Oryzias latipes: one gene and its partners. The protein of the gene in region 1 binds, or shares a complex with, the protein of each later gene. Links are inferred from orthologs where the notes say so. Each region holds a gene or a part of one and is shown in the gene's direction. Other genes may lie near its edges. The genes, in order: F-box-like/WD repeat-containing protein TBL1X, coro2a, hdac3, zer1 and gps2.

Region 1 (3,513 bases):
AGACAAACTTGGATGTATTTTAACATTAAACTGTTTTCACGTGTCAGAGACCTGGAGGAAGCTTTTAAAAACGTTGTTTGCCTCTTATAAGCCGTTCCACAGTGTCACTAATTGTAGCGACTCGTTCCAGGACGGTACGGTCTTCGACGGTCGACCCATCGAGTCGCTGTCGCTCATCGACGCAGTGATGCCAGACGTGGTGCAAACGCGGCAGCAGGCTTTCCGCGACAAACTCGCCCAGCAGCAGGCTGCATGCACCACTGCAGCTTCAACTTCTGGGAACCAGCCAAATGCACCAAAGAACGGAGAAGCCACCGTAAACGGAGAGGAGAACGGCACTCACGCCATGAGTAGGTCCAGTTTTCTCCCATCACCTCGCAGCAGGGCCGGAAGAGGAGGGAATCGGAGAGCAGACTTCTCGTGTAAAAGCTTTCGTGTAAAAAAAAACTTTTTTCTTTTTCACACCAGTGGCTGTACTTAAACTTAAATTCAAAATTCTTGTGCGGTTTAACTCTTTAGACCTACAGCCGCCCTGTCATTAATCATACGTGATAACAAGGCGCTGTCCATTTCTTTTGTGGCTGAAATCAGAGAGGAGCAGATCAGGTGGAGGAACAGACAAAGAGAACAAGGAGTAGATGTTTTTTGTTTTTTTTCCATTCTTTATAAGAATTTACGGTCACCAGATGGCAGCAGGAGGAGAATGTTAAGGTCAAAGGAAATGTGTAGAATTTGCAGACATGATTCCAAAACTCAAATAGGACATTTTTCCCCCGTTTTTACTTCAAAGTTTATTTAGAAACTCACAACAAAGAAACTGAAGCTTAAGTATGCAATTTAGTAGGAAAAACAGAAATACAAGAAAGCTATTTTAAAAAATAAAATACATATTTACTGTTGTAATTCTGTAGAAGCAGCACACTGAAATCCCAGTAACTGATGTACTTGTTCATATTTACTAGATCATATGGACATTGCAACCTGGAGGTGTGGTTTTGGCGATTTATGGTGCAGCTCTAATGGCGTACACTCTCCTCAGATAACCACAGGGAGCCCATGGAGACGGATGTTGACATTGAGATACCAGCCAGTAAAGCCACAGTGCTGCGAGGCCACGAGTCTGAAGTCTTTATCTGTGCCTGGAACCCCGTCAGCGACTTGTTGGCCTCTGGGTGGGTCCCCTGCTCCAGATTACCTGTTTTTATTTTTCTGAGCCTTTTTTGTGTGCAAGAGTCAATGTTTTACCTGATGAGATTATCAACGTTTTCACTTATTCAAGAACATTTTTACTGTAACAAAAATAAAAGGTCTGTCAGACAAGAAGTGCAGGTTTTCTTCATTCTGCATCCTGACCTCCCTGTGTTTGCTGTTCAGCTCGGGCGACTCCACCGCCCGCATCTGGAACCTCAATGAGAACACCAACTCCAACTCCACCCAGCTGGTGCTGCGCCACTGCATCAGAGAGGGCGGCCAGGATGTCCCCAGCAACAAAGACGTCACCTCACTGGACTGGAATGTGAGCTTTGGCATCCGCTCATCTCTCGTCTTTTTTCCTCAGCTGAGGACAGACGAGTAACAGAGATGTTTTGCTTCCATCCGACAGAGCGACGGGACCCTGCTGGCTACAGGTTCATATGATGGATTTGCCAGGATATGGACCAAGGACGGTATGCCATCCATCGCTGTCACACTCTCTCCTTCCCTGGTCATCCTTCTTTTTGTGAAAAACCCAAACAATATTGGTTTAGTTTTAGAAAATGTTTAAGAAAGTTCATTAATTTAAATTTAATTCATCAGGAAATCTGGCCAGCACTCTGGGGCAACACAAAGGACCCATATTTGCACTGAAGTGGAACAAGAAGGGAAACTCCATCCTCAGCGCTGGTGTGGATAAGGTACTTCTTTTATGCTGTGTTCTTAAATAATTTGACTTTTTTGTTGTTAAATCTAAAAATGTTATCCATAAACTGCAGAGCAAATTCTACTATCAAGTCTTTCGTTAAAGACTAAAACTAAGAATCTCACCTCAATAAGTTATGCAGGCATCAGAGTTCTGTTTAAAACTGACAGTGAATGCTGGGAAATGTTGTTGAAATGACCTTTTTTTTTTTCCAATCTTCCAGACGACAATCATTTGGGATGCACACACCGGGGAAGCCAAGCAGCAGTTTCCTTTTCACTCAGGTGAGTGAGACTACTCCCTGGTAGAAAATAAAACCCGTTACCTCCATCGCTGTAGCTTTCCACTCTAAAAGATAAAACCAGGTTCTAATGGCACTTTTTGACCCGCTGAGGAAGAAAAAAGTTTTTTTTGTGTTTTTGTTGTGACACAAATGGTCCCAAATGTCACATATGAGTCCTGTAGAAAAAACAAAAAAACCTTATTTTAAAATACATTTGTATTGCATTTTACATTATGTTTTAATACTATTAAAAGTATACCTGTTTGGATTAGTAGAAATATATATTTTTTAAAAAGTCAAACCTATTACAGTATTTGCAAATTAAGAAAAGAAAAACCTAAAATTATGTTTTTATTTAAGAAAATACAGTGATTGTAATTAGGGCTGTGGGATTAATGAATGTAATCCATTCATTAGAATTAAATGTAAGGCTTTCCCCTTTACGCTTACTTTCTCTGCTTTGGTTCCTGGTGTAATTTAGAAATAGAAGGTTTCTCAAAAGCTAATATGAGAGTTTTCTAAGAATATGAGACTTAATATTTCTTGAATGAGTCGGCCTGAGTCTGAAACAGTGGCTCCTTATTAAAACCTTAAAAACCAAGCTGGAAAAACTCATCTAAAGGAGTAAAGTTTTAGCCTCTGCTCTGCTTTCAGTCTATTTCCTGTTAGCATCATTTACCAGAATAAAAGCCTTTGTTTAGTTGGGTGTTGTCGTGAGTCCTGACGGCGTGTGAATGCTTCCGCAGCTCCGGCGCTGGATGTGGACTGGCAGAACAACACCACCTTTGCCTCCTGCAGCACAGACATGTGCATCCACGTGTGCCGCCTGGGCAGCGACCGGCCCCTCAAGACCTTCCAGGGCCACACGGTGAGCGCGTCCTCCGCCCCCCCCCCCCCCCCCCCCCCCCCCCACACACACACACACACACACACACCCTGACCTCGTTTCAGTCCAGGCTGCCGCAGCCCCTCACCTAACCAGTGCCGCCGCGTTTTTCAGAATGAAGTCAACGCCATCAAGTGGGATCCATCGGGTATGCTGCTGGCCTCCTGCTCAGACGACATGACCTTAAAGGTGAGAGGGGTCCACACGGATGTGAGGCGCTGAAAGTTGAATACGGCGGCTTATTTTCATAATGTCGCACGCAGATTTGGAGCATGAAACAGGATTCCTGCGTCCACGACCTCCAGGCTCACAGTAAAGAAATCTACACTATTAAGTGGAGTCCCACAGGGCCCAGCACAAATAATCCCAACTCCAACATCATGCTCGCCAGGTAGGAAACCTGACCTGTAATGCAGAGTTACTCAGCTTTTGGTAGTCTGGGTT
Region 2 (4,190 bases), on another chromosome or scaffold:
AACAAATCTTCCTGTAATGACCGACTTTCATCACTAGAGGGCAACAAATTCCTCAAGATGAAGAGAAACCAAACCTCAAACCCATGAAATGACTTTCTGCAAGGCCTTTTTCATAATATTAACAGAAAAGCAAGGGATTGGTGTGGTTGGTGTTTATATAAACTTAAGCTAATACTTAAAATGCTCTTTTCCACACTGGAAACTAAAGAAAAGTGATTGTTTTCATGCTGTCAGCACAGCAGTTTCACTCCCTTCACTGATCCGAAAGTCCTGCAGACACACTGATGTTCAGCTCTTTCTTTCCTTTTGTGCTCCTGTCTGCAAATCCACAATTCCCCATACATCAAAACTACTCATACAAGTTGAGATTGAATCCTATTTGAAACATTATCTGGAGTTTGATTCATTTAGTTTAAAAATGGTTTTGATTAAATAATGTTTCATTTCATTTTAAATAAAAAGCTGCTCATGCAGGTGGAGGTTGACTGAAGGGTGAAGCTCCGAATGTTTATTTAGAGCCGGGCTCTACAACCTGAGGCTCCGGCGCCACATTGTGGCTCTTTGGCTTAGAAAACAAATGCACATAATTTGAATAATTACTGGGTTTGTTGTTTTGGTTCATTTCATTAGGATTATGTTTAGATTTTTAACATGTCAAATCACTGAGAAAAATGATGGTAAAGCGTTTAATCTACTGTGCATCCATCCATAATGATAGAAAGTTTGACTTTATTATACACTTTAAGTAAATCTGCTGCAGCAGGAAGACACACAGTGTATTTTATTTTGAAAGGAACTAGGATGTGCTGCTGGTAAAAGTAAAAGAAGTCAAGATTGTTGATTATAGAAAAAACAACTGTTGTCATTCAATTATTAATATTTATAAACTACTTTTATTCAGAAATGGCTTAATGGTCACAAAACATATAAAAAAGTATTTTTTCTAAAGGTGAAGTTTAGTTCTTGCTTGGTTTTCGTCATTAAAAAACTGGACCAAATGGCTCTTTTAGCGTTAAAAGGTTTGAAATGGATGTCCCAACGGTGACGTCATAATCCCACGTCAAGGTGGATTGATTCAGAATCTCCATTATTTTAGATCTCTACCCTTTACAAGTGGCTGAACTGGGACTAAAAGTGAAACTTAGATTACAAATTTTTTACATATTTTTTTAACTTTTTAAATGCTTCTGATATTAAAGCTATACAGCTTTAACGATTTGTATTGTTTAGCGGATCGTTTTGTGTTTTTATTTTGAAAAATCTTTGTGCGCGCGTGAAACCAAACTGATCTCCTGGCCCCTCCCTCCCTCCCCCTCCCCTCTCCCGCTCGTCCTCCTCTGGAAGCATCCTGTCTCTCCTCACATCTACCTCATGATCCACCGCCCTCCTCTTCCTCCTCCTCTTTGTTTTTTTCTTTTTTCCCGCGGTGGCGGTGCGTTTGTCCTGTTAGTTCCCGCTTGCTGCTGTTGTTGTTTGTCCACATCTGGGACCGTCAAGGTTAAACCGGGCGGTATGACTTAGTTTCTCCATAACGCTGCTTGTACTACTGGGAGGAGTGCCTGAATAAAAAAAGCCGGGTCCAGCAGCCGCTTCACACCACCTCCTGCCGCCTCCGCCTCCGCCTGCGCCCCATGACTGTTTCGAAGGTGAGTTCCCCGCAGAAGGTGGCAGCTCCGTCCCGGGGAGCGGCTGCCATGAGCGGACAGCTCTCCGGGGTGGAGCCGGCTCTTCCACCCGTCACCTCCAACTGTCAAACATCAGTGAAGTTTGTTGTTATTTTTTTCTTGCTTGGTTATAAATGACCCCTCCGGGTCTCTGTGACAGTGACATCATCTTTGTTTTTGTAGTGATGAAGCACAAACTCAAAAGGACAAACTAACCTTTTGTTTATTGTTATTATTTTCATTTATTGTGCTTCTAACATTTAGTGATTTATTGTGTTTTACTTTTGAAACTGTACAGTGGCCTTGAGTGTTTTAAAGGAGCTTTTAAATAAAATTCATAATGATTATTACCCAAATTAATCTTTTATATATATATATATATATATATATTAGTATTTTTAATATATGTTTAAAATTAAAGACCCACTCCAATGAAAAAATGCAGTTGGAAACAGTCAAACAGTGATGTTGGTGCAACAGCCTGCAGACTACAAGCTGGCTGCTCCGCTCCATTCCCATGCATCCACCTCCAGACCACTAGATCCGTCTTTGTGTTCCTCGTCTAAGCTGGACTCTGATTCTAATCTGTATGACTGCATAGCTCCGACATACATCACCTTTTTGGTTGCTCTGCTAATGTTAGGTTGGGGTTGTGAGGGATTGTAAGCTAGCGGGGGTGAGTGTAAACAGATGGATGATGGGAAACGAGGGTAGGCTTACTCTGCACAAACAGTCCCGCCCGCAACTCATAGGCAAATGATTGATGAACTCCTGGCGCTCTGCAGAAATTATGTCCTAGAAAACGACATAGGTTTTTGGATTTTGGATAAAACACGCATAGTTATAATTAAAAGAGTGGGACCTTATCGATGAATATGTTTGATATTTATTAGGCCTGCACAATATACCGCAAATTTATCGTTATCGCAATATCAAGCGGTGCAATATCCTTATCGCAAAAGACAGTGAAAATTGCAATAAATGGTTACTTTAAATGTGCTAAAACAATCTTATGGCAACTTGAAGTATTTAAAGAATCAAATAAATCCCTTAATGTGTTTGACCAATCGGAGTGACCCCTCACGTTGTTGACCAATCGGGTGGAGCCCTATTATGTTAGATGTTCTCCTCCTAAGTCGATGAGGGTCATTTGGAGTATAATTTTTAAACTGTTGCAATGAAATGGGAATGATGTTTTTGGTTGTTTTGCTCTTTGTTTCTATACTGCAAATTATATCGTTTTCGCAATATTAATCACCAATATCGCATATCGCGAGTTTTCCTCATATCGTGCAGCTCCAATATTTATTTTTACAATTCCATATTTATTTGATTTAGAGCTGCAGGTTTCAAACAACCAGCTATTTTGACTGAGAAGAGATGAAACTTATTAATATAGTGAAGACATTTTAATCAGAAGAAAGAATTTTTTGCTTAAAAAAATACAAATATTTGCTTTAAAGAACAATTAATAAATAAAAACTCGATGTATTGCATTTTTAAATGAAGATTAATTTAATTTCAGTTAATCCCATTTACTAGACTCACTGTATCCTCGTTTGGGGGTCCTGAGGTGATTAATGTCTTTATCAAACCATCTAAGATTGATTATTTGTGCATTTTATTATTGATCTAACTTGTTCAGATAAGCATTTGGAAAGACTTAAGCTAGATCTTTATTTACAGTCTTTAACAATGTGAAGTCTAATGAGCAAAATATTATATTAAAACACATTTTTTCTTTGACAATGTATTTTTTTAAAGAAACAGTTCTTCATAATACAGAAGCTTCATATTAAAAATGACAGTTGTTGGAGCAACAAGATCATTTTTAGCTCCACATCTAAAAACTATTTTGGTTCTATCAACGTGCAGATCTAGTATTTCAGCAATTCCTAGGATGTCTGGCTTTTCAACTGAGGCATCAGTTTTCTGTTTGACATCAGTTCACTTTCAGGTGTAGTTATACTTGGATCACAGACGGAGAACGATCATATCTGCTATTTTTAGCATCGGGAGGTCATCTGCTGAACCTTTGCAGCTGTGAGTTGATGTGTGCGTGTAAAAAAGAAAAAAGAGCCCTTACTCATAAACCTTACTGTCAGTAAGTAAAGGTTTGTCAGAATCCATCCATCCATGCATCCATCCATCCATCCATCCATCCATCCATCCATGCATCCATCCATCCATGCATCCATCCATGCATCCATCCATCCATCCATCCATGCATCCATCCATCCATCCATCCATCCATCCATCCATCCATCCATCCATCCATCCATCCATGCATCCATCCATCCATCCATCCATCCATCCATCCATGCATCCATCCATGCATCCATCCATCCATCCATCCATCCATGCATCCATCCATGCATCCATGCATCCATCCATGCATCCATCCATCCATCCATGCATCCATCCATCCATCCATGCATCCATCCATCCATCCATCCATCCATGCATCCATCCATCCATCCATGCATCCATCCATGCATCCATCATCCATCCATCCATCCATCCATC
Region 3 (4,218 bases), on another chromosome or scaffold:
CATGCCCGCTTTAGAAGCCTGGCCGACGGTGGCGGAGCGCGACGCCATCTTGGTGAGGTCGACGACGCCCACATGACAATGATTTCTATTGCTTTTAGAGGTGTCTAAGTAGCTTTTATATACTATATATGTTTTTACAATTTATATATATTTATAAATATATGTAAATACATTATATTTATATATATAATATATATATATATATAGATACATCATTTGTTGTTGTTAAAGAAGAGAAACAGTCAGCCTTAAAAGCTCAAACTTTAATGAAAATGCATTGTTGCAGGACTTCTTACAAATAAAAAAATTATTACAAAGAATTAAAAAAAAATAATTTGTAAACATTTAGGAATTTTAGACCTCTTTGACATGTAATTTAAATTATTTAGAAAAACCCAACAATAACTCAATAATAATAATAATAATAATAATAATAATAATAATAATAATAATAAATCAATAGTAAGTCAATACAAACAATAAATAATAGCAATACATACATAATAAGTCAATAAATAATAAAATATAAGTCTATTATTATTATTATTATTATTATTATTATTATTATTATTATTATTATTAATAATAATAATAATAATAATAATAATAATAATAATAATAATAATAATAATAATAAAATAAATATTCAAAAGAATTCCAAAAGTGAACAATAGATTTACCCTAAAATAACAACAACAAAGAAAAATAATAGATTCATGTGAGTGATCAATTTGTGTAACACAGATGGTATGGTGTCAGGTTTCAAGCTAACAGTCTGGCCTCTTATCTAAATTGGTTTCCACAAATGTTTTGAACAGTCAGACTGTATTACTAGTTGGTACCACAGTGATCCATCTGGGTTAGCTCTTTTTATTGCTAAGATCCACTTTTTCCTTAAGTCTGAATAGTGAATAGTGAAAAGTTCGGTCACTGAGTCAGACATGTATAAATCTATATTACTATAATAGCCTAGTATGCTGTATACAGGTTTAGCAAAATAAAATGTACATTTATGTCGACAGCAAATTCTCCGTACATCATGCAGCATGTTGATAATAACCCTGCAGCATCATGCATGTCAACATGTGTTCTATTAATAAAAGAAAAACAAAAGAAAAAGAAAGAAACAAAAGAAAAAAATTATAATACTTTTCTATGAAATGATATACTTCTTCTTTCATGGACTCAGTTCTCTGATTTTGGCAGTTGAAACACAAACAATGAACTGGTATTATGCAAAAAATGTGTTCAAATGCATTCACTGCAGCAGTAACTTGACCTCACCAAGATGGCGGTGCTCTCCTCCCATGAGGAACCACGTGATGTTTCCTCTAGTGATCATCACTCATTGGTTTAAACTCACTCCGCCATCTTGAGACCCCCTGTTCGCCCCTCCCCTCTCCATCCCCTGCGTCCCAGCATGATGACGTCACCTTTAAATGTTTACGGTTAGCCGTTAGCGGCAGGAAAAATGCGGCAGACTGAGCCGCTCTTTAAAAAGTAAAACCTCGCTGAATCTCAGGATTATTATTATTTTTTTTACATTTAAAATGTCTATTAGGACGTCTTACTTTTACGACCCAGATGTGGGAAACTTTCATTACGGTGAGTTTGCTGAACGCTGGGATTGGAGCAGGAGTGCTAATGCAAGCTAGCTGGAGGAGGCTAACAATTCAAACGATTCATTGTTAAAATTCAGCTCCAATTTTGTTTCTGGGTTTAATTAAGATATTTTTTTTTATCTCATTCATATGTTCAGGCCAGTGTGTTGTAGGTGAGTAATGAACACATAACGTCACATTTGGGTGCAAAGGAAAAGAATATTGTAGCGATCCTGCCCACGGCAGGAGTGTATGTAGATACTTAGGGTTATCTGTTGGTGTTTTTAAACCCTGACTGAGTTGGTTATTTCCAGGCAACATATTTGCAATTTGTATTCTATACAGGAATGGGCTATTATACTATATACCAATTAAGCTGAGGAGTACTGATTCTAGATTTAGGTAATAGAAAGGTTAATAATAATTAATTATGTCCTTACCCGTTTCTGTTATCATGAAAACTTTTAGGTCTTAATCACTTCCAGCTGTTTATAATCTCTGAACAGTTTGGGATTATCATTGATTTGGTTTTTTTATTAGTGTGAGCTCAGTTCAAAGCTGCTGTGAGTCCACAAAGAGCTGATCACTGCAGGATAAAAATGGAGACCAAAATCTAAAACAAGTGTTTGTCCCAAAGCATTCACGGCCTCTGATTGACAAAACGATTGTTGACAGAGTGTGATCGTGGTTTCTCTGGTTTTTATAGGTCTAAAAAGAAAAGACAACAACAAACAAACATTTACAGAACCGACAGCTGCAGCAGATTCAAACTAAATGGAGGGATTCTGCAGCATTTTTTTTAATCTTCTTTCCTGTTGGTCGTGAAAACGCGTTGGAAGTGTAATCATGTTGAAATGGAGCTGATGATGAAAAAGTGATGATGCTTGTTGTGAACCGCGTCTCCTGCAGGTGCCGGTCATCCCATGAAGCCTCACCGTTTGTCTCTCACCCACAGTCTGGTGTTGCATTATGGGTTATATAAAAAGATGATGGTGAGACACTCCTGAAGGTCCAGAACCTGCTTCCACTGTTGCTTCGAGATCAAAGATTGAACTCTGCAGTTTCTCTGTGACCGTCAGGTTTTTAAGCCGTACAAAGCCTCTCAGCACGACATGTGCCGGTTCCACTCTGAAGATTACATCGACTTCCTGCAGAAGGTCAGCCCCAACAACATGCAGGGCTTCACCAAGAGCCTGAACACCTTCAACGTTGGAGATGACTGGTGAGCGCTGCTGCTGCTGCTCCTCCTCTTCATCGATCTGTCTTCTGCTTTTGGTTCATGCAAATGTGAGCACTAACCCAACGGCGGGCTCTAGTCCTGTGTTTCCAGGACTCTTTGAGTTCTGTTCCAGATACACGGGGGCGTCTCTGCAGGGCGCCACGCAGCTCAACCACAAGGTAAGCCGTCCGCTTTTCTCCATCACTGGGTTTGTCATGAACCGTCACTCATGGACTCCTCTAGTAACGGATATTCAGCTCCATTTAGGAATTATTCACAGGGTCAGACTTTAAATGTTTACATGATCATAAAGGGCTGCAGATTTTTTACACCACAATCGATCATCATACTGAACGATTTCTCTATTAGACCGAGGAAATATTCCAAACTGCGTCACCCGGATAAACGAGAACCTTCAGCCACATTCAACGCAATCATTTAAAAAAGAAAATGGTTTGCTTATTATTTATCAAACATCGTTACTCACAGGAAGGTCACAAATAAGCTAAATGTTTGGTTTTTTTTACATGTTTTTGCAGCATTAATAGAGTTAATAGTTAAATATTCTGGAGTTTGTAACAAACATAGCAGCTTCAGTTCTTAAAAATATAAAAAAAAACAATGTTATTTTCAAGCTGCGTCTTAAAAAAATAGTTTCAGCAAATGTTTGGGGAAAAAACAGCCAAAGTTGTCAGCATGAAGCTGGAAATGTTTGGAAATTTGCATTTGTCTTCATTTGTGGCGATCTCATTTTTTAACAGCACATTGTGTTCTGCGTCCTGATTCGCTGTTGACCTTGTCAATCAATCTCCTCTGTGCCAAATCATCATCAGATCTTTGTTTGCATTCTATAAAACTGGATTTATTCTCCTAGTGTGCAAATGTGTGAAAGTGAGGAGTTATCCGACTGTCACCACAGACATCCATGGATGTATATCAATCCACAGATATACATACAGAAAACAATATCATTGAGTAGACGTTTGTCATCATCAGGACAGCTGATCCAGTTTTGAGCTGCTTTATAGTAAAACATGGTCCTTCACTGTTTGGTTCTGATTCGGAACATTAAGCTGGTTTGGACTGAAAAGCAGCAGCAAAGCAGCTTTCAATGCCAACCTTTTATAGACATCTTGGAAGACATTTCTAAATCATTTTCTTTATTTCTGTCTAAAAAGAAAGTCCTACATTTCGTAGCTGTTTTCTGTGTAAACAGGGCTTCTTTATTGGAATTAAAAGTTTAAAACGGTGACTCCAGCCGCTCGTTTCCTTTCATCTGAGACAGTAAAAAGACGAAAGATGTACTTTATTGAAAAACCTGGAATCATTGGAGTGTCATTTACCTTTTATTTATAATTATTGAAACTGCAACAGAATAAAAATAAAAACATTTTTAGG
Region 4 (3,513 bases), on another chromosome or scaffold:
GCTGTCATCATCTTCTGTTAAAAAAATGATGCTTGTTTATATATTACTGCTTTCAATGTTTGCGTTTTCTTTCATGCTGTGTATAAGAAAAAAGAAAAAAACAGGCTTTAAATAACAAACATCCTTTATTTAGCTTTTATTTTATTTTATTTTAATTGTATTATTTATATTATTTAGCTTTCTTTACATCCAATCCGTTCCATAAATCCAGGCCACAAGTTGATTAGCACATTTTCTTTTTGAAGTATGAGTGCTCTGCTTTTTGTTCAGCTGTTTTCTTAAATTGTAACTCTCATCTCTGTCCTTGAACATTTGCTGTAAGTTTATTTTGGTATCAAGTTATTTTTGGCTTTAAACATGCTGTGTGCTGTTTTAAGTTTCACTACTTCCCAAAAATTCAATAAACCAACTTTAAAAATAGTGCGTTTGTGTGTGTCCCATAATCTACACCATAAACTGTTCCAATAGTCTTTTTTGGTAAGACATACAAACACTATAGATTTGCTTTATAAGTATTTCCCCAAACTTCTACACTGTATTGTAAATATGGTAGTATTATGGATGAATATATTTGTAGATGTGCTTTGTGAGTGACTGTATGACACGTTTTTCCCAACACTGATACGCTTTTACCAATTTTGGCTCTGACTTGCTTTATATGTGGCTTCCAGATTATTTTGTTGTCCATAATTACTACTAAAACTCAATTTCAGTCACTCTTTCCAGAACATGCTTTTCATTAGAAACATTTATTTCTAAATCTGCAGGAATATGGCGATTTCCAAAAAATCATGAATTTATTTTGTTAACATTGAGTGAAAGTTTATTTTGTCGAATCATTTTGAAATCACATACAGAGGAGGGGATCTATATGTTTACTATATGTTTACTATATGTGTTTAATGTAAATCATATATCTATATTAGTTCAGTGCGTGACTTTCAGGTGATTAAACGCTGCAGTGTGAGAAATCCTTCTAGAAGTGTGACCGTCTCTTCTCTGTGCATCGTCTCCTTCCTGCAGGAGTTTCCAGACAAGCAGGAGCTTCATCGCAACATGCTGGGGCTGCTGGGAAACGTGGCGGAGGTCAAGGCTCTGCGGCCACAGCTGCTCACGCCGCAGTTCATCTCTGTCTTTAGGTAAAGGCTGGCAGCAGGGGGCGCTCTCTGCTTCTGCACAAACACTGCTCAAGCACTGCACAAGCACTGCTGTTTACACGGTCTAACTAACATACACATTTAGTATTTACATGTAGTATGACTACAGTAGTATTACTTAGGAGTAATGGGAATCTCAGTACAACCAGAAGTAATCACAGTCACTACACAGACAGGATCAGAAACGCAGACTGAATCAGAAACGCAAATGGGATGGGAAAAACAGGTGGAATCTGGAAATGCGGGGGAAATCAGAAACCCAGACGGGATCGGAAACGCAAACGGGATCAGAAAAATGGGTGGGATCTCGAAACGCAGACGGGATCGGAAACGCAGACGGGATCGGAAAAATGGGGAGGATCTGGAACCCTCTTGTTATAGAGAGCTCTCTACTTCCGCTTTCTCTCCCGCTAGCTTACAGCCCCTCAGAACCCTAACCTAGTATTACTGTTAGCGAGCAAAATCTGAGCTATTCAGCCGTACGGTGCTGATCCAGATTTTCCAGGAAAACAAAGTCGCCTGCAAGCGGATGCATGAAACCAGGGGTTGACATTTGACATTTTGGCTAAAGATGTCCTGTATCCATTTTAGGTCAATGAATCAGGTCGAATCGAATCAGCAACCACAAATTATAAAAATGAATCGAATTGTTAAAGTGAAACTTTATACCCTCTTCTCAGAATGGATCAGAGCAGGGAGTTTTTTATCTCACCCAACATATTTCCTGTGTTACAAATAAGCTTTTTTCTAAACTCCATTTTTATCGTCTGCTCCTGTTTTACAACACTTTGAACAAACACTCAGAAATGCCATTTTAAGCTTAACTTTCTTTATATTTGTCCTCATCTACAGAAAAAATGCTACAAAAACATGTTAAAAACACCATCTTGGTTGTTGGGTTTTCCTAAAGTAACTCCTCGTCTCTCCGTTGCAGCAACCTGCTGGACAGCAAGGCTGACGGGATCGAGGTGTCGTACAACGCGTGCGGTGTCCTGTCACACATCATGTTCGACGGCCCTGAGGTTTGGGCCATGCAGGAGCCGCGCCGGGAGCTGGTCATGGACAAGATGTGGGAGGCCATCCGGAGCTGGGACGTCAGCTCACGCCGCAACATCAACTACAGGTGTGATCAGAGTCGCCTCTCATCAGAAGTGTCAGGGGGTCAGAGGTCAGCTCTGGTTTGCGGTGGCTTCAATCCATCATCTCTAACAACCGATTCAGTCCAGCTGAACCGAGACCAGAACTGCCCTCAAAACAGTTCTGACCAATCAGAGACCTGCAATCCTGACTACTCAGGAGGTGCTGTAACAGACGGTAGCTAACATCTGAAGACTAATCTGATCCGTCAGCGTTTCTTACACCGTTGCTTCACAAACCGCATCTAGAAACCAGAACCTTCCAGAGATTTTGAATTTTCTAAAATATTTCTAACTGGAATTATTCTCAGCCGAGAACAAAATCTGCAGACATTTTAGATGTGTTCTCGCGCCCGTCTACTTGAGGTTTTAGTGCCTCTGAAAGGGCTGGGTTGATAAAATTGATTAATCGATCTGAATAGATCCAAACGTAATAAATCAATAATCAATCCATAAAATAGAGATCAATCTGTCATGCCTTTCCGGTGATCTGACAGATGAAGGCAGTAAAGCCAAAGTCTGCTAGCTTGATGCTAACGTATAATGGAATTTCTCATAGGACGGCTAATGATAACACAATAAATGAACAGCTTTATATACTCACAGGCAGATTCCTTTAAATAAACTTTTTTTTAAAAACCATTTGTGGTCTAAAGCGCAGCTTTTTGCTCAAATCTTCTGGATTAAAGTCTAACGCTATAGAGACCAAACACGGGTTTCTTAATTATCTGCACATTTTTGTTGGAGCTTCTCCGTATGTGTAGCATGTGAACTGTATGAGATTAATATGAATATCTGTTACAGTATTGTATTTCTGTACAAATATTTCTAAATGTGTAAAATGTATACATTTAAAATGTAATCAAATCGAGCGGATGGAAAGAATTGATCCAGGCTCTGGTTAAATCCAATCGATTCTAGAAATTATTGGTGATACCTAGCCCTGATCTCTGACATAGTTTCATAACCATTTAGATTTGAAACCCTTAAAAGTATATTTAGTCGGTAAAAACAAGTCTTCAGCATGCAGTTGCTCCCTTTTTTGACAAACCCGATGTCACCAGCTGCAAATGCTGGCTCCACGCTCCTCCCAAAAGGGCTATATAGGCTACGCTAGCCTGTTACCATTGTCCAAGATACGACAAGAGCGACGCCATACTGCAAAGGGCGGGAAACGATGAGACACGGCTTAGCAGATACAGTAGAATGACCATAAAATG
Region 5 (4,267 bases), on another chromosome or scaffold:
TCCTCTTATTTTACTCTATTTGATTTCCTCAGGAGCACCACGAAGAGGACTTTTTCCTCTACATTGCCTACAGTGATGAGAGTGTGTATGGGAACAGCCAAAGGGAAATGTGATCCCCTTCAACCACCTTTCTGAGACCTTTGTCATTCATTCATTTAAAAAGTAAAATCCAGCTTGGCAGTGTAGAGTTCCCAGAGTAAATGTCATCTGCACTTTCACTTCTCACAAACACAATCTTTTACATATTCATTTATGACTTTTTCTATTTTGCAGTCTGAATTGTATTTGCCTTCTCTGGTTTGGTTTTTGGGAATCGTACTCCACAGAATGCCTGATAAAGAAAAGTGAAAATAAAATCTCAACCGCTATGCGCTTGTATTTACTTCTGAGTGCAGAAAACAGAGGCAGAATTTGTTGAGTTAAATTGACCCCTGCCTGGTAATAAGTATAAATAGTGCTTGTCAAATTTTGACAAGACTTTGATGATGAAAAAGATTTTGGTTTATGTTTTAAAGTCAATAATTTTCAAAAGAATAGTGATAGTGCTGCCAGCGGTAGTGATCTTTTTTTTTTTTCCTTTTGATTTATTTTATTTTAAATTTAAAGAGGTCACGGTAAGCTTTATTTTTATTAAATTGTTAAATCCCAAAACACTAGTATTTCCTTCCTCATATTTAATCTTTGCGAGGACTATAATAGGATTCAGACTGCTCAATCATTCTCTGCTTTCAGTGGTAAAATTATTTTGACAGCTAATATGATTATTGTTGTTATTATTGTTAATTTTAGGTGGCTCACTTTCTAAAGAAGTTGTAAAGCTGAGTGTAATTTTCTTTTTAAGTTTCTTATTTTTTAAAAAGGATTTACAGTAGAACTCTGTATACGGCTGCATTAATGGCTCTTTCTCTCCACTCATGATCGTATATGATAAAATGTTATGAAAGTTGATATTTGTTTCCTGACTTTTTTTATGGTCTGATGATTTTACTGGATAGTAAAAAAATTACATTAAGATTAAAAGGTCATTAAAAAAAGGTGGGATCTAGTCCTAAATGGAAAAACTGTTGCCTATCTTTGATATGAAAGTTAAACAAAACATACAAAAGAAAAATAGGAATATGTTTAAAGTATTTTATCTCTCTTGATAAACCTAGGTAAGTTTGGTCTTTTGATTTTAGAAGTACGTGGCTGTTAGTATAAAAAAAAGGTTATATATATAGTCTGTAAATATAGAGAAAGTTATTAAAAAATGGGGGCATTGGAATGTCCTTATTACAAAATATAGGCTAACTTAAATTTAAAAATATGAGTGCAACATTTTTATTTTACAATTAATACTGTTTTTAAATTCTGTAGTTCAAAATGTGACTTCTGAAATCCACTTAAGCTAGATTTAGAAGATCTAAAAGTGTTGGTCTGAATTTAAACTCCACATTGAAACGCAAATTCCCATGATGCAAATGGGGCAGCCGTGTCTTTTAACCGGAAGTAGAACTCTTTCCCCCGGTCCTAAAACCTCTGTTTATATTCGCGGCCGAAAGTTTTGCCGGATAAAAGCAAAAAGGTAGATATTACAAAAGGCGACACAGTCTGGTTCTTAAAAACGGCAACATTAACGATAAAAGTAAGCATCTTTTCTGAAATAAATTAGCTGTTAGCAAGCATTAAAATAATATAGTATAAACTCCGTCGCGCACTTATTTGTTTAGCTGGTGTGGCTAACTTTAGCTAACAATTGGGTCTTTTTGCACACAGATATACGCATGTTTGTCTTGGACGTATCTTACTTATCACAAACATTCATGTTAAATTTTGCTGCTAGATTAGCGGGTTTATTATTTTTAAAGATTTTGCCGTCTTATCCTTGTTCAGGCTAGCATCACGCAGTACTTGTTTAAATTAAGCTAGGTCATGGCTCGGTATAAACCCTTCCAAAACAGATTAAAAGGTTTATTTAGTTCAATTTTCAGTAAAATTACTTGAGTCTTTTTAGCCCACTTATACTAAACCTCTGAACTTTAAAACAGCTGGCCCCTCCGTTACCAGTGACCATGCCTGCCTTGTTGGAGAGACCGAAACTGTCCAACGCGATGGCCAGAGCCCTCCACAAGCACATCATGAGGGAGAGGGAGCGCAAAAGACAAGGTCAGTGTCATCAAATGAAAAGGAGAAGTAAGTTAACCGAACAGAAATAATCATTCTTCTTTGATTTTCTAGGAGATTTCATTTAAGGCCCACTCCAATCAAATCTTGATCTGTTTTAAAAGCGTTCCCAGTGGCCAGTTTATTATGATTCTGCCGGTTTTAGGCTAAATCAAAAAGTCTGTATCGTTTTCTAGGACGTAGTTTTTGCAGAACAACAGTACCTCACATGGATTTTTTTTGCCTCCAAGTGGAGGCCTCATAATGGAGCAGAGCAGGCTGCTTGTGGCTTGCTGTTGGGTCTATGTCAAAACTGTGAGCTTTTTACAATGACGTTTTTACATCTACTCCTGATTCACAATGATTTGAATAAAAAAAAAATTATATATCTCCTCTATCATGAAAAAAAAAGGCCACAAGAACATGTTTAAAATACCAAACATATAATTTTCATTGGAGTGGGTCTCTAAAATCTGTCTCTGACCTTCTTGACAATTATCATTACAAGTAACTTTATCATGTTTCAGATGTGTGAAAGTGTTACAGGTGATGCTAAATCTTGTCCCTGTAACCTTTCAGAGGAAGAGGAGGTGGATAAAATGATGGAGCAAAAGCTGAAGGAGGAGGAGGAGAGGAAAAGAACCAAAGAAATAGAGGAAAGGATGTCATTAGAGGAAACCAAAGAACAGGTGAGCACCTGCCATCAAAGATGACCCTTATTTTAGGATTTTTAACTGACTCTTTAGTTCTTCCTTTTAATGACATTTCTCCCCTGATGTCAGGTGATGAAAATGGGAGAAAAACTTCAGGGACTTCAAGAAGAAAAGCATCAGCTGTTTCTGCAACTCAAAAAGGTTCTCCATGAGGAGGAGAAGAGGCGCAGAAAGGAGCAGAGGTATTTTCATTCAACAGTTGTTTAGTCCACGAATGATGCCTCTTGTAATTTTGCGCCTCCTTCTGTTATCAGTGATATAACAACGCTGACATCTGCCAGTTACCAACAGAGCCTGCCCATGCACACAGGACAGCACCTCCTTAATATTCAAGGTGAGCTACTAAACCATGAATACACATTTCATAAAAAGGTTGTATGTTTTGTTAGCTAATTTCAGCACTAAGATCATTTTGTTTGTTTATTTATTTCTTTTTTTGAGGGTAGGTAGTCCAGTGAGCCACAGTCGAGCTGGAGCACTACTTGGAGAAAGAAACAAACAGTTGTACACAACAACCGTGATCCCTGTAAGTACAAGTGGGCTGTTAAAAAAACGTCTTGTTAAGTTCTTTACTTAGTTCTGTTGTTTGGAAAAGCCTGGGCCAAGCTGCTTTGCTTTACTTCGGTTCTAACCCGAGTAATGCCTACAAAACCTGCGTATAGCCACTTTGCATATAACCAAAAATAATAAAGTGGACTATTATGAACATTTTATTCTCTAAATCAAAAAAAATGTATCAAGCTAAAACAAAACCACCTCCACAGAACAAAACTGTTTAAGAACAAGGAAGGAGGATATTCTTTAAACAACCTTGTGTACGGACAGCCCAAAAAAGTCAACATTTCTGTCTGTGAAAATGAGTAAAAATGATAAACACAATGGAGAAAAAAGTGCAACCTGAACATTTTGGAAATGTATAAATTAGAAAAGGAGAAATGTGATGTTTGGTTCCTAGATGCTTTTATTTATTTTTTCCCCTTCAGTTATTTTATGTTTTTAATTTTTATTAGTAAAAATGTATGTATTAAATATAGTAAGATTGGTGGTGGGAATTAATAAGATTTTCCTTGTACCCACTCCTTTTTCGAGCACTTCTATTTATCATGTTTATAGCTATTTTATTTTGAAAATAAAAGTAAGTTAATGGAAGGTTCACCGCTGAAACTCTGTTTTTAACAACTTTTTGTCAGAGTCTAAAGCCCTACCTAAATTCCAAACCAGCTTTTTAATACAGAAAATATATTTTTAAAGTGTTTATCCCACTGTGTATGAAAAATAATTTTTTTTGGTGGCCTAGCAACTACACAAAACATTTTTTTTTGTGGAAAATGTCAATCAAATGTTGTCAATCAAGTCACTCTTTTTCCCAGGTTTTCTCACTTCCTCTGGCTTATCTCTAGGGACGGCATTTT

Evidence for each region.
Region 2: F-box-like/WD repeat-containing protein TBL1X (region 1) and coro2a share a complex: the UniProt entries of both Homo sapiens proteins name them as parts of the N-Cor repressor complex. The link is inferred for Oryzias latipes from reciprocal best matches to the Homo sapiens genes TBL1X and CORO2A.
Region 3: F-box-like/WD repeat-containing protein TBL1X (region 1) and hdac3 share a complex: the UniProt entries of both Homo sapiens proteins name them as parts of the N-Cor repressor complex. The link is inferred for Oryzias latipes from reciprocal best matches to the Homo sapiens genes TBL1X and HDAC3.
Region 4: F-box-like/WD repeat-containing protein TBL1X (region 1) and zer1 share a complex: the UniProt entries of both Homo sapiens proteins name them as parts of the E3 ubiquitin ligase complex. The link is inferred for Oryzias latipes from reciprocal best matches to the Homo sapiens genes TBL1X and ZER1.
Region 5: F-box-like/WD repeat-containing protein TBL1X (region 1) and gps2 share a complex: the UniProt entries of both Homo sapiens proteins name them as parts of the N-Cor repressor complex. The link is inferred for Oryzias latipes from reciprocal best matches to the Homo sapiens genes TBL1X and GPS2.

The regions. Positions count from the first base shown.
Region 1 is NC_019879.2:24,121,245-24,124,757, reverse strand, and holds part of F-box-like/WD repeat-containing protein TBL1X, read left to right. Parts: intron 1-130; coding exon 131-350; intron 351-1,039; coding exon 1,040-1,172; intron 1,173-1,374; coding exon 1,375-1,516; intron 1,517-1,603; coding exon 1,604-1,667; intron 1,668-1,797; coding exon 1,798-1,895; intron 1,896-2,123; coding exon 2,124-2,184; intron 2,185-2,929; coding exon 2,930-3,051; intron 3,052-3,183; coding exon 3,184-3,258; intron 3,259-3,332; coding exon 3,333-3,460; intron 3,461-3,513. UniProt on the Homo sapiens protein: F-box-like protein involved in the recruitment of the ubiquitin/19S proteasome complex to nuclear receptor-regulated transcription units. Plays an essential role in transcription activation mediated by nuclear receptors.
Region 2 is NC_019859.2:16,847,919-16,852,108, forward strand, and holds the start of coro2a (coronin-2A), read left to right. Parts: upstream 1-1,381; 5' UTR 1,382-1,631; coding exon 1,632-1,646; intron 1,647-4,190.
Region 3 is NC_019868.2:25,322,755-25,326,972, reverse strand, and holds the start of hdac3 (histone deacetylase 3), read left to right. Parts: upstream 1-1,416; 5' UTR 1,417-1,550; coding exon 1,551-1,605; intron 1,606-2,510; coding exon 2,511-2,593; intron 2,594-2,680; coding exon 2,681-2,823; intron 2,824-2,917; coding exon 2,918-2,999; intron 3,000-4,218. UniProt on the Homo sapiens protein: Histone deacetylase that catalyzes the deacetylation of lysine residues on the N-terminal part of the core histones (H2A, H2B, H3 and H4), and some other non-histone substrates.
Region 4 is NC_019870.2:27,326,339-27,329,851, forward strand, and holds part of zer1 (protein zer-1 homolog), read left to right. Parts: intron 1-1,023; coding exon 1,024-1,139; intron 1,140-2,091; coding exon 2,092-2,280; intron 2,281-3,513. UniProt on the Homo sapiens protein: Serves as substrate adapter subunit in the E3 ubiquitin ligase complex ZYG11B-CUL2-Elongin BC. Acts to target substrates bearing N-terminal degrons for proteasomal degradation with the first four residues of substrates being the key recognition elements.
Region 5 is NC_019876.2:14,446,283-14,450,549, forward strand, and holds the start of gps2 (G protein pathway suppressor 2), read left to right. Parts: upstream 1-1,457; 5' UTR 1,458-1,564; exon of another isoform or gene 1,565-1,624; intron 1,625-2,027; 5' UTR 2,028-2,051; coding exon 2,052-2,172; intron 2,173-2,721; coding exon 2,722-2,831; intron 2,832-2,924; coding exon 2,925-3,037; intron 3,038-3,109; coding exon 3,110-3,189; intron 3,190-3,301; coding exon 3,302-3,381; intron 3,382-4,255; coding exon 4,256-4,267. Other genes in the region: gabarap (gamma-aminobutyric acid receptor-associated protein), read left to right, coding at 33-113. UniProt on the Homo sapiens protein: Key regulator of inflammation, lipid metabolism and mitochondrion homeostasis that acts by inhibiting the activity of the ubiquitin-conjugating enzyme UBE2N/Ubc13, thereby inhibiting 'Lys-63'-linked ubiquitination.